Linked DNA regions of Nothobranchius furzeri. The main gene of each other region encodes a partner of the protein of the gene in region 3 in a complex. Links are inferred from orthologs where the notes say so. Each region holds a gene or a part of one and is shown on either strand. Other genes may lie near its edges. The genes, in order: tmem231, b9d2 and cc2d2a.

The links.
Region 1: cc2d2a (region 3) and tmem231 share a complex: the UniProt entries of both Homo sapiens proteins name them as parts of the tectonic-like complex. The link is inferred for Nothobranchius furzeri from reciprocal best matches to the Homo sapiens genes CC2D2A and TMEM231.
Region 2: cc2d2a (region 3) and b9d2 share a complex: the UniProt entries of both Homo sapiens proteins name them as parts of the tectonic-like complex. The link is inferred for Nothobranchius furzeri from reciprocal best matches to the Homo sapiens genes CC2D2A and B9D2.

The regions. Positions count from the first base shown.
Region 1 is NC_091744.1:86,200,749-86,205,079, forward strand, and holds the start of tmem231 (transmembrane protein 231), read left to right. Parts: upstream 1-1,379; 5' UTR 1,380-1,612; coding exon 1,613-1,751; intron 1,752-3,525; coding exon 3,526-3,692; intron 3,693-4,074; coding exon 4,075-4,203; intron 4,204-4,331. Other genes in the region: gabarapl2 (gamma-aminobutyric acid receptor-associated protein-like 2), read right to left, coding at 822-855. UniProt on the Homo sapiens protein: Transmembrane component of the tectonic-like complex, a complex localized at the transition zone of primary cilia and acting as a barrier that prevents diffusion of transmembrane proteins between the cilia and plasma membranes.
Region 2 is NC_091743.1:62,503,031-62,506,175, forward strand, and holds b9d2 (B9 domain-containing protein 2), read right to left. Parts: upstream 1,759-3,145; 5' UTR 1,321-1,758; coding exon 793-1,320; 3' UTR 637-792; downstream 1-636. Other genes in the region: poc1a (POC1 centriolar protein homolog A), read left to right, coding at 438-452, 2,100-2,184, 2,315-2,486, 2,687-2,866, 3,054-3,145. UniProt on the Homo sapiens protein: Component of the tectonic-like complex, a complex localized at the transition zone of primary cilia and acting as a barrier that prevents diffusion of transmembrane proteins between the cilia and plasma membranes.
Region 3 is NC_091748.1:39,034,500-39,038,152, forward strand, and holds part of cc2d2a (coiled-coil and C2 domain-containing protein 2A), read left to right. Parts: intron 1-219; coding exon 220-411; intron 412-495; coding exon 496-602; intron 603-736; coding exon 737-877; intron 878-1,045; coding exon 1,046-1,202; intron 1,203-1,320; coding exon 1,321-1,592; intron 1,593-1,738; coding exon 1,739-1,916; intron 1,917-2,320; coding exon 2,321-2,474; intron 2,475-3,653. UniProt on the Homo sapiens protein: Component of the tectonic-like complex, a complex localized at the transition zone of primary cilia and acting as a barrier that prevents diffusion of transmembrane proteins between the cilia and plasma membranes.

The DNA.
Region 1 (4,331 bases), on a different chromosome or scaffold from region 3:
GAGGCCTCTTGGGATTCTTCCTCTGCCATCTTAAAGCCAAGCCTTGTTCAACACAGAGAGCTCCCTGTGCACAGCAGACACTTTTCACACAAGATGCAGCACGCATAAAATGGATTATCAACTCTAACAACAATTTGTGATCAAATTAAGGCACTAGCTGCCTTTCACAGTGATTGTAATCATGATTGATGCCATTGTGTGCATTGATTTTAGGCAGGACATGCAGCAATGCAGAAAATGAGGCCCGGGGAGGGGAGGAGAGGTGATAGTTGATAAGGTGCAGGCTTTCATTAACCCAGATAAGAGGCCTACTTTGGATGTGTTTCTTTAAAAAGGTTATCCGGTGAGAGTTTCCACACAAAAGCTGAGTTACATAACAGAAATGGCTCCAATGAGATGTGAGTTCAGTTACTGTTAATGCGTTTGAAACAATCCTGACTTACATGTTCAAATTGTATTTTCATTAGGTCTCTTAGCCAATTAAAAAAATATAAGAATTTATTCTTGCTGGATTTGTTCTGACATTAGGTGTTTAGGTCAAACATTATCAAAAGGTGTAAACACACAGTGTAAAGACAGGAATCAGAGCAGATTCAGCTGATTTTGCTTTTAGGGCAACGATAAAGCGACCAAAAAGGGAAAATGGTTTCATGCAGCGAAATCGAATTACAGCAGTCGTGCAAATGGCAAAAAATAAAAGCATGCATTACTGCGTCTATGAGCGGTGGCATTGCTAAACGATGCGGGGACAGTAAAACAGAATAAGGTGGGATGACACGACAAGAGCATCTCTTGTTTCATAACAATCCAAACCCTTTTACCGAGGGAATGGTCCTCTTTAAACATCCATTTCATCTTTGCTGGATCCCCGCACTGAGGCGTGACGCGTAGAAGCTTCTAAATCTGCGGGTAATGTCGGCGAATTGTCCAAATATCCAGACAAACGCAATCAAAACAACGTCAAATTAGCCTTTCAGCTGTGCGTCTAGCGGAGAGGTGACGTCAACGTCTGACAGAGTGCTGCCTTCACGGGCTCTCCGGGAGAGTCGGTCTATCCGTGACTGAGTCCTCACACACATAAAACATAATGGTAAAGGCGCTTGTTTGTATTTCTGTTATTTTCTAAAGAACAGAATAACACATACAGTCAGAATGAGTAACATCATAAGAAAAATACCTAATAAATGATTTCCATAATCTCTAAAAAATGCCCCCAAGACAGTCTGTGTAAATAGTTTCTCTACACTATGTTCATCAAAATTAAAAAGAGTAGCAGACGCCTCATAAAATAGCAACATTTCCACATCTGGAAAAAAGGTTCCCGTACTCTCAAACGTTGCGTGAACGCAGTCTGGTCGTTGGCTGCCATGGTAACCGCCAGACGCCTAGCTAACATGGCGTGGGATCCCGCACCGATAATCACAGAGGCTAACAAAAATAGCATGTTAAACGCCAAATTTCGTGATGAATATGTCTTTATGGGGCTGCTTGACTCCACATTCAACTAGATGGACATTGCTTTATATGAGTTAAATATGTTTGTGAGCTTTTTCTCTTATTAGACCCGAGTTAGCATCCGCGTTAGCGGTTAGCGTTTAGCTAGCGGGTACTCATGGCTTTTTATGAAGTCTACTCTCACCCGGCCGTGGTTCGGTACAAAACCAGTGTTTGTACAACAGCTACCTTATTTCTGGTTGTTGTTTTATGCCTTACGTACATCCCACCGCTGCTGGTTGCATACAGGAGTCAAGGTACAGTAACGGTCACCAGAAAGCTTTTATTAACTGTTCATCGTGTCTCCTCAAATGTCCTACGATGTGTAAATCCTCAGTTACAGAGACAAGAAGTAATAACAAATGCTTAGGTTCACCAAAACCTCGGGTTTATGGAGGGAACAAGTCTTGTAAAGTTTATTGAAGGAAGGTTTACTGAATGTTTTTTATTATCTTATTATAATTTTGCCCTTTTTGTATTTGTTACCATCACAAAGATATTTAATCTGACCATCAAGTGACTGCAGAAAAACCAATCCCAGATTAAATTCACATAATGATAGAATAAAATAACAGGGATATTTACAGACCAACTTTTCATGCTTTTATACTGTGATGTGACTGAAAAAAAATACAAATAAAATATGCATTTATTGTGATTGATGAGTGAAAGTTTCGTAATTAACTTGGAGAATATTGCAGAAACCTGCAATAAAAAGCCTCAGTTTTGTGTTTGAAATTATTTCTTTTAAATAATGATAAACGAACCTCACGTGTACAGCACCTTTCAGAGTCGGAGGACTCCAAAGCTCTTTACACTACAGTGTTTCATTCATCCATTCACACACATTCACACGCTGATGAGCTACATTGTATCCACAGCTGCACTTGGCCTTCCGATTACTGGACAACCCGCTGTGCCTCTTGAGCTGCTGGTCCAATATTAGAGAGGCATCCATTCTGGTTTTTGAGATTGATACAGGTTTTCAGTTCTTGTACAGATCTGACCAGCAGGTGCTGAATATCTTATACTTTAGACAACCCCAACTTTTGCTAAATCATATGGAGAAACTCTGAAAAGCAGTTATGTTCAGCAACAAAGGCTGCAGAACTTTAGTTGATCATCTTTGAGCCAGAAACCTGCTTGTGCAGCTAAGTCTCATTCTCATTTTACACATACCTCTCAGTAGGTAATTTGCAGTTTTTTTTTTACCCTGAAGGTATTTAATTCTCCAAGTAGCTTTCTACAGATTCCCACTCTTAACCCTGTTGCAAAACAAAACTAATAAATCTGGAAAACTCATCTAATATTTACCAATCAGCATCCATTTTGGCTCATGTGATATTTAGACACTGCCAATAAACTAGTTCACTTATTGAAAACATACACAAATTTCTCTTAAAATTAAGAATTTTTTGCATTAAGATTTGAAAATGTGCTCCATAACTTGTGATTTTAGCACGACCAATAAAGCAACATGGCAACGTCAAGTTCTTGTCAATGTCTGGAAATCTCACTTGTGTTAATCCACCAGATTTTACAGGAAACGTTCCTGTTCACAAACTTAATATGGAAACAAAAACACATGGTTTACTCCGCAGATCACCTTAGCTTGTGAGATTTATAATCTCGACAACAACTCGAGAGCTTCTTTACAAAACCTTCAGTTGCTGAGATGATAAAGTTTTATAGCAGCAATAAAAATAAAAGAGTAACTTACCTGATAACAGTGCTTTCACACATTGTTTTACAGCATCTAGTCTAAATGACAGCTTTGTTTCTTTTTTTAACACACCACTGACTGTTTCCAATTGTCATTTACCTAAAAAAAACAACGTTTAAAATATTTGACCATGTTGAAAATGATTATTTTGGATGTCAAAGACATTTTCATGGAAGAGCTGTTATTGCCCGTGTGAATTAGCTTAGTGGACGTTCACGAGAAGATGAGGTGGAGAAAGGAGTTGAGTGGAACTGTATCTGACGCTCTGAGCAGATAGAGTTCACTGCTTTAGTTTCTTCTCATTTCAGGTTTCTGGATAAAACGAAGCATTTACGAAGAACAGCCGGTTGTGAGGTTCCAGTACGAGACTTTGCTGTTAGCAGCAACCAGTGCTCAAGGACATTATGTTGCCTGGAGCACTTTCCCTTTCCTTAACAACATGCTTGGGACCAACCTACGTATCCCCACTATCTCTGTAAGAAAACTCAACGTTCCTCTCCCTTAAGTTATTTCTGAATCACTGGTAAAATCTCTGCAGCTTTGATTTCATATTTTACACCTAAAAGGCTGAGACTGACTGCCAACCAGAGCAGGATGAATACTGTTGAAGTAAAAAACATGCTGGTGCTCAGCCAGCCAGCAGTGAGTCAGAACACAGAAAATTCACATAAAAGACTTAATAGGTGCTTAATATTTGTGAAAGTGAAAACATAAAGAAACCAGAAAAAGCTAAAACACATTTTTACTCTAAAGGAGGATCATTCATTTCCACGAGTCTCTTGTGCCTCTGCAAGATTGTCTTTTGTAATTATGTATTTTTGTTTTGTAAATGAAAATTGTGTTTTGTTTTCATAAAGGTGAGAGAGGAGGACCTGAACCAGGATGGGAAACTGGACCGTTTGAACCTGCAACTGCAGCTTCCGCTGAAACCTGATGAACAAGTTTACAGCATTCAGCTGCTGCTCACCTTCAGCTACCAGCTCTTTGTATGTATCCCACTCCAGTAGCCGTCTCACAAAGAGCTCTTTCCATGCAGAGGAAGAGGATTTTTATTTGTGTCCAACGTGCTTTGAAGAAATATTTCAGCCACTTCGTCTTTGCATTAAAGGGACAT
Region 2 (3,145 bases), on a different chromosome or scaffold from region 3:
AAAACATTTGTTCCAAAACATCACTGCACCGCTACTGACATCTTGTGGTCATATTTGGTTACTACACTCGTGTGCCCCTTGGTCATTTGGATTTGTTGTGCAAAAGAAAATAACTGCTTGTACAATCCGGAACTTCTTATTTTGTTATTCATCGTTTTTACATTTGATTGAAGTCTTTTTTCGACACAAACGTCCTTTAATGTCCAGCGTCCCCTTTAAGGACTCTGGCCAACAGCTCAGCGCCCAATCACGGCGCGTAAACTGAACTCTGTTGTTAGCAGCTAGCATTAGAAAAAACAATTCCAATTACCGGAGCGATATTTTCCTCCCTCTGTTCATTTCAAAACCCACAGTTGAGAACAATTGTATTTCGGTCATAATAGCCAAAGCAGCAACGAGCCTCTTTACTCGGGTGTACGTGCTAAATACCGGGAAAAATGACTTCTGCACTGGTGAGTTTGGCTAGCACTTGTTACTGTAGCAACTGAGGAAGTTCGTGTCTGATTTGTAGTAGACTACTTGTTTTGGTTAACGCACACACACACACACACATGTTCAAATATTCATAACGTTACAAATATGAAATATTAGGTATAGTTGGATTGATGGTAAACGGTAGATGAATAAGAAACCAACTTCAATGATAAGTGTTTATTTATAGCTGTATTTCAGGTGTAAAAACATCAGCATAGAAATGTACAAAACTTTGCCGTGTGTAATTTTTCAAAGGCATTTGCGACAAAACAAACTTTTTATAAGAAAACAATCAATACAACATTCTTATTTGACGTCTCAGCTCTCGACGCCATGTTTGTCAAAGTGTCTTATGATGACGCCCAGCTCCAGATTCACAGTGCCCATGGCCTCGGTGTGCAGTCTGTATCTGTCCGCTCCACTGTAAATCAGATCCGGGTTGCGGAGCTGGGGGCCTCCGCCGACAAATATTCGTGCTAGCTGCTCTTGCCAGGAGCCGAGCGGCCTCCATGTCACACAGCTTATGCGGTGATGTCCGGGGCTGGAGGGAACGTGGCAGTACCCGTATCCGTACAGCTGGTAGCGGCCGAATGAGTCCTGGTGCCACACTTGCAGATGAAGCTTCGGCCAGCCCTGGAGACCTTTGGTCGCATAGTGCAGATCAATTGGGTGGCTCCAGTAAGCCATTTCTCCGCTGTGGGGGGAATCCACCTGAGTCTGACCCTCCTTCAGCCCCGAGAGAAGACGCCATGCTCCCCCCGTATGAACTTCCCATTTGCAAAATAGGCTTTTTTGAGGAAACCCGCTGGCCCCGATGATCTGTCCTATAATGTGAAGCTCTGCCATTTCACAGCTGTCCGCTTTAACCAGAACATGCGACACACGGAGCCCGCTTTTATCAAAGGCTACAGAGCAACAAACGCAGCTCACGTCTCCTTGGTAACCCAGCCTGCCATAGTGTGCTCTTAATACAGCACTCCCTGAGCAGAGTCTGTCAGGCAGCACTTCCTGTCTAGGGCTGGTTCTATTTTTGAAGGCAAATGAGACACATTTTTATATCTTCTTGCTAAAAAAATATTACTTAACCTTTAATTTAGTAAACTAATTACGAATTTTAACCAATTTAATTAATGACGTGAAGCAGCTGTTACATAAATTACAATCATACCTGAAAGACTGAATAAAGGGTATACAAGAACCGCTGGTTTACTTTTTTCCGAATAACTATTTAACAGCGCAAGTTCAACAAGATGGCAAATGAAGTGCACTGTACTTTTTAATGTATTGTTTACATCTCAATGGTGCTTTATTTTTTAAGGTTATAAATTCTAAAAAGCTATTTATTTAGATATGCTTTCTCCTGCTTTTCCTGATGACTGTTCATCTTGCAACTTTTATATAACTCAATGGATAACTAAAGAAAGTAAAATTTATTTATATAGAACCTATTGTAGAAAAGAAAATCATGAAGTTCTTCAATGAAAATTACATAAAAAATAAAACATAAAATACAAAAAAGAAGAAAATATCATTTAATAACAAAAGTGGTCATAAAACAAATGAAAAAATAATTTCCAAACATAAACTTGTAAAATAATTGAAAATCTCTGTTGATTTCATCATAGTCTGATCCAACCCTAGAGAGAAATTTCAAGGGTCACAGGGACGTCGTGACAAGTGTGGACTTCAGCCGCAACATGAAACAAATTGGTAATATTATTATTATTTGATCTGAGCCTTTGTCCGTCTATATATTCACCTGTTATCCAGTTTGTTGTGTGCACATTGTAGTTAATACCAATCTCTTGCTTCAACCAGCTTGTGCTTCCTCCTTTCTCAGTCACAGGCTCTATGGATTCTTGTGTGATGATCTGGAACTTGAAGCCTCAGATGAGAGCTTATCGTTTCGATGGACACAGAGAAGCTGTAAACTCTGTCCAGTTTTCTCCATCTGGTCACCTTGTGGCCTCGGCCTCTAGAGACAAAACTGTACGTCTCTGGGTGCCCAGCATGTAAGTTTATACGTAGCAGCATTTTATGTTGTTTTCTTCTCATCAAGTTTCTCCAGAAATTATCACTCAAGACAAAGCTGTGGATTCCTAAAGGCAAAAGAACAAGATCTGCTGATTACTCTAATTTCATCATACCAGCGCCCTGAATAAACAGTGTGTTTGTCTGCTTTATGTATGAATAATACCTTTTGTGTTTGCAGGAAGGCTGATTCAACTGAATTCAGGGCTCACACTGCCACTGTGCGTTGTGTTAACTTCTCCGGTGATGGACAGAGCCTGGTCACAGCGTCTAATGACAAAACAATCAAAGTGTGGACGGTCCACAGGCAGAAGTTCCTCTTCTCTCTTAACCAGCACATCAACTGGGTCCGCTGTGCCAAGTATGAAACACACACACTCCCATTTAATACCACACCATGCAAGTTTCCCTGTGATATTTGTAATGATGAGTAAAGTGTTGTACAAGTGTTTAAAAAATTTAATATGTGATGTCAAGTTTTCACCTTTTTTTTTTACACTTTTCCTCTCAAATGTTTAATTTTAAAATTTTAATGTGCTTTTCTCCAGGTTTTCTCCAGATGATCGTTTAATTGTGTCCTGCAGTGATGATAGAACTATAAAGCTATGGGACAAGAACAGCAGAGAGTGCATTCATTCTT
Region 3 (3,653 bases):
GCTGTAATTAGATCATTCTTGCTAACGGACAGGGACAAAGGGCAGATTTAGAGAAAATGCAACGCATTCAGAATCTTTTAATATACAAATGCTTCTGTAGTTTAATTGATCTCATCTTTAATCATAAACACACAAACAGACATGCAGTTAAAAACAAATGCTGAGAGTTTTGTTGTGCAGCGAATGCTGGATAATGTTGTTATCTCTGCTGTCTCTCAGCCGCTGAAGTCCATGTACGGTTCATCAGACCCCACGGGGGACTACCAGATCGATGTCAATGTGTCGGGGCTGATCTTCTCCCATCACCCTCTCTTCAGCCGTGAACACGTGCTGGCAGCTCGTCTAGCTCACCTGTTCGACCAGTATCTCACCAGGAGGCAGAGTAATCTCTCAGGACACCTCACTGACAAGGTAGACTTCACCAGATACTGTGGAGAGGTTACCACGGCCGTACCACAATGCTTTGACACAGCTGAGTGTTTGTGTCCGCTTTAGTTGAATGGTTTAAGGAATGCTTTGAGGAATGTGGTGAAGGTCCACGGTGATCAGGACCTCCCTCAGGCCCTTCAGAGGAGGATTTTTGAGTACAGCCTTGAAGTGAGGTGAGGTGGCTCATTTATGGGCCACTCCCATCGGTACCGGGCCGACCCGGGACCGATGGGAGTGGCCCATTAGATCCTAATATGTCCAGAAACATGTTGGACAGAGTTGGCAGAGTTTCCCATGAACGTTCCAGGAATACTCGACACCTGAGAGATATGGAGCAGGAGAAGGACAGAACTCTGCTAAAGAACATCATCAAAGTGTGGAAGGAGATCAAAGCTCTGAGAGAATTTCAGACATTTACTAACACACCATACAAGCTCTACCTCAGAAGGTAAGCTCTCCTGTTCCAGCCAACCCTGACTGAAAACATCATTTAGAAATTTCCTTCAGTTTTCTATTATAAATCTTAACAGAATTATGTTAATTATACTTATTGCAGCAGTCTGAAAGGTTTTCTATTCATACCATAAATGTGCTGCTTTGTTTCTTGATGCTTCAGAGAGAACGTGGACCTGGCTGCAGATGAGCACATGTACGAGGAGGAAATCCTGACAGAAGCTTTGGAGATAGAGGCAGAGCATGAGGAGGACTACCAGAAGAAGCTGGCAGAGTACAAGAAACAGCAGGAGGAGTGGAAGCGCTGGAGGAAGAAGCAGGTGTCTGACTACTGCTGCTGGAACCATCACAAACACCGTGGAGTAAAATAAGGCCAGCCTTGTTCTTGTAGGATTGCATATTTATTTTTGCACATATTTTTATATCCCATGTTTTCAGAAAGCCAAAAAGAAGAAGAAAAAGAAGAAGAAACGAGGTCAGACACAGGATGATACAGACGAGGAAGATCAAGACCAGGAAGGGAGCGAATCAGAAGGACCCTTTGAGGAAGGTCCTCCTAAACCAGAACCCCCCGAGAGGCCGGACTTTGACTCCATAGAGCAATGGGTGAGAGAAAAAGCCTCGAGGATACGCAGGAAGCCAGGAGAGGTCATTCTGACCCCAGAGCTGTCTGCATCAGGAAGCATCACACCCAGTGAACTCTGTCCCAGGTAAACCGTATTCATCACAAACTGCAACACCCCTTTAACTGGCACGTTTCATGTATTTATGGAAATGTTAGTCGATGGCATGAGAAGACTGCTTATTGTAGTACTTTACATGCTTTTATCCTGTTTGTTATGCTCTCTCGTTTAAGGGCTGAGGTTGCTCGAAGAGAAGATGTTTCCAAGCGATCGCTTTTCATCAAAGTCCTGTACAATGACAAGGAAGTTTCCCGAACAGGCAGCTGCTCCCTGAGATCTGACTTCAGGGTGCAGTTCACCCAGCTGTTCCACCTCAAGATCCTTAACTGTCCCCAGAGCATGAATCTGCAGGTGGAGTAGAGGAACTCTGAATGCACCGCAAGGTTGTTACTGCTGCAGCTGCAGTCTGTTTCTCATCAGTTCTGTGTGTGTGTGTGTGTGTGTGTGTGTGTGTGTGTGTGTGTGTGTGTGTGTGTGTGCGTGTGTGTGTGTGTGTGTGTGTGTGTGTGTGTGTGTGTGCGTGTGTGTGTGTGTGTGTCTGCGTGTGTGTGTGTGTGTGTGTGTGTGTGTGTGTGTCTGCGTGTGTGTGTGTGTGCGTGTGTGTGTGTGTGTGTGTGTGTGTGTGTGTGTGTGTGTGTGTGTGTGTGTGTGTCTGCGTGTGTGTGTGTGTGTGTGTGTGTGTGTGTGTGTGTGTGTGTGTGTGTGTGTGTGTGTGTGTGTGTGTGTGTGTGTGTGCGTGTGTGTGTTGTGTGCAGGTGTTTGAGCAGATTGGATCATCCTCCTCCCTCCTGGCTCAGGTGTTTGTTCCGGTACCAGAACCCTCAGTGGTTACAGGCAGCGCTCCTGTGGAGACGTTTGAGTTTAGCAGCAACCAAAGAGTCATGTTTGATCATGAAGGAGTAGGAAGTGGTAAATACTGTTGTTCATTTCTGCTTCACTCGCATATGTACAGTGCCGTGTAACATTCCTGTTCCCAACAAGTGTTCCTGTTAAGATTTACTAACAGGATCATTTTCAGTCAACTATGGTGTGCAGTGTCCTTAAAGTTCTCGTTCACTGAGAAACTATAATACTTGTTTTTGGAAACAGTCTGTCATGCTGAGTTTCACATGCAAGCTGATCATGAAAATAGTTTCTACCCCTATTTCCTGCATTACTCTGCCGATAGAAAACAGACTGTGTGGTAAAGCCGTACAGATCTACGTCACAGGGGAAAACTGCCTCGCCCTTCTTGGCTTGCCACCACCCACAGAAAAGCTGTATTGATTTAGCATCCAGGAGAGAGCAGAGCACATGTCAGCTAGTAGAAGCTAATCATTAGCATCTTCACAACGTGGCAGAACCTCTTCAGGCTTGTGTTGTTTGTGGAGAGAAATCATCATTTGTTACCCAAGTAAGAAGAAGGATTGAAGGCAGCAGAAGAGTCAAGTTACTGTTAGCCAATCAGAGGCAAGATGTTGGCATATCATGAATATTAATGAGTAAGTCTCCAAATCCTGCTGCGCCACCCACCCACACACACACACAGCTTCTACACTAAACAGCATACAACATTTTAATCCATACTGTAGGCCTCGGCAGATTTATAGAACAAATGATTGAATGAGAACTTTCAAAAATGAAGGCAGAGTCTGAAAGATCTTAAAACTTGCAGATTTATAGTTTAGGACTGTCAGAAATGATTGAACTAAGCAGTAGTTCAAGTCTCTTAAAGCGAGGTTTTGTTGAAATGTTACGATCGATCGACGTCTTACTTGTAGCTATGAACAGCTTCAGTTAGGAGTAACAGAGATTGGTTTTGACTAAACATTTACAAACGTTCCTAAAACTTCACAGCAGTTTATGCAGATGCTATTTTATAACCTTTACCATGCCATCATTTTTCACATTTGAAGTATTTTCTGGCTGAAATGTCATAAATTCAAGCCAGGAAGAAACTGGTCTCCTTAGTTTTAGAGTCACCGCTGAGTTTGATGTGAATAGCTGTTTAATATAAAATATATGGTGATGTAAATGTTTATGAAATAGCACTTACATGAGCTGCTAGTGTTTTAGATTAGTGTTGTTTAAAGATGACACAAACACTTT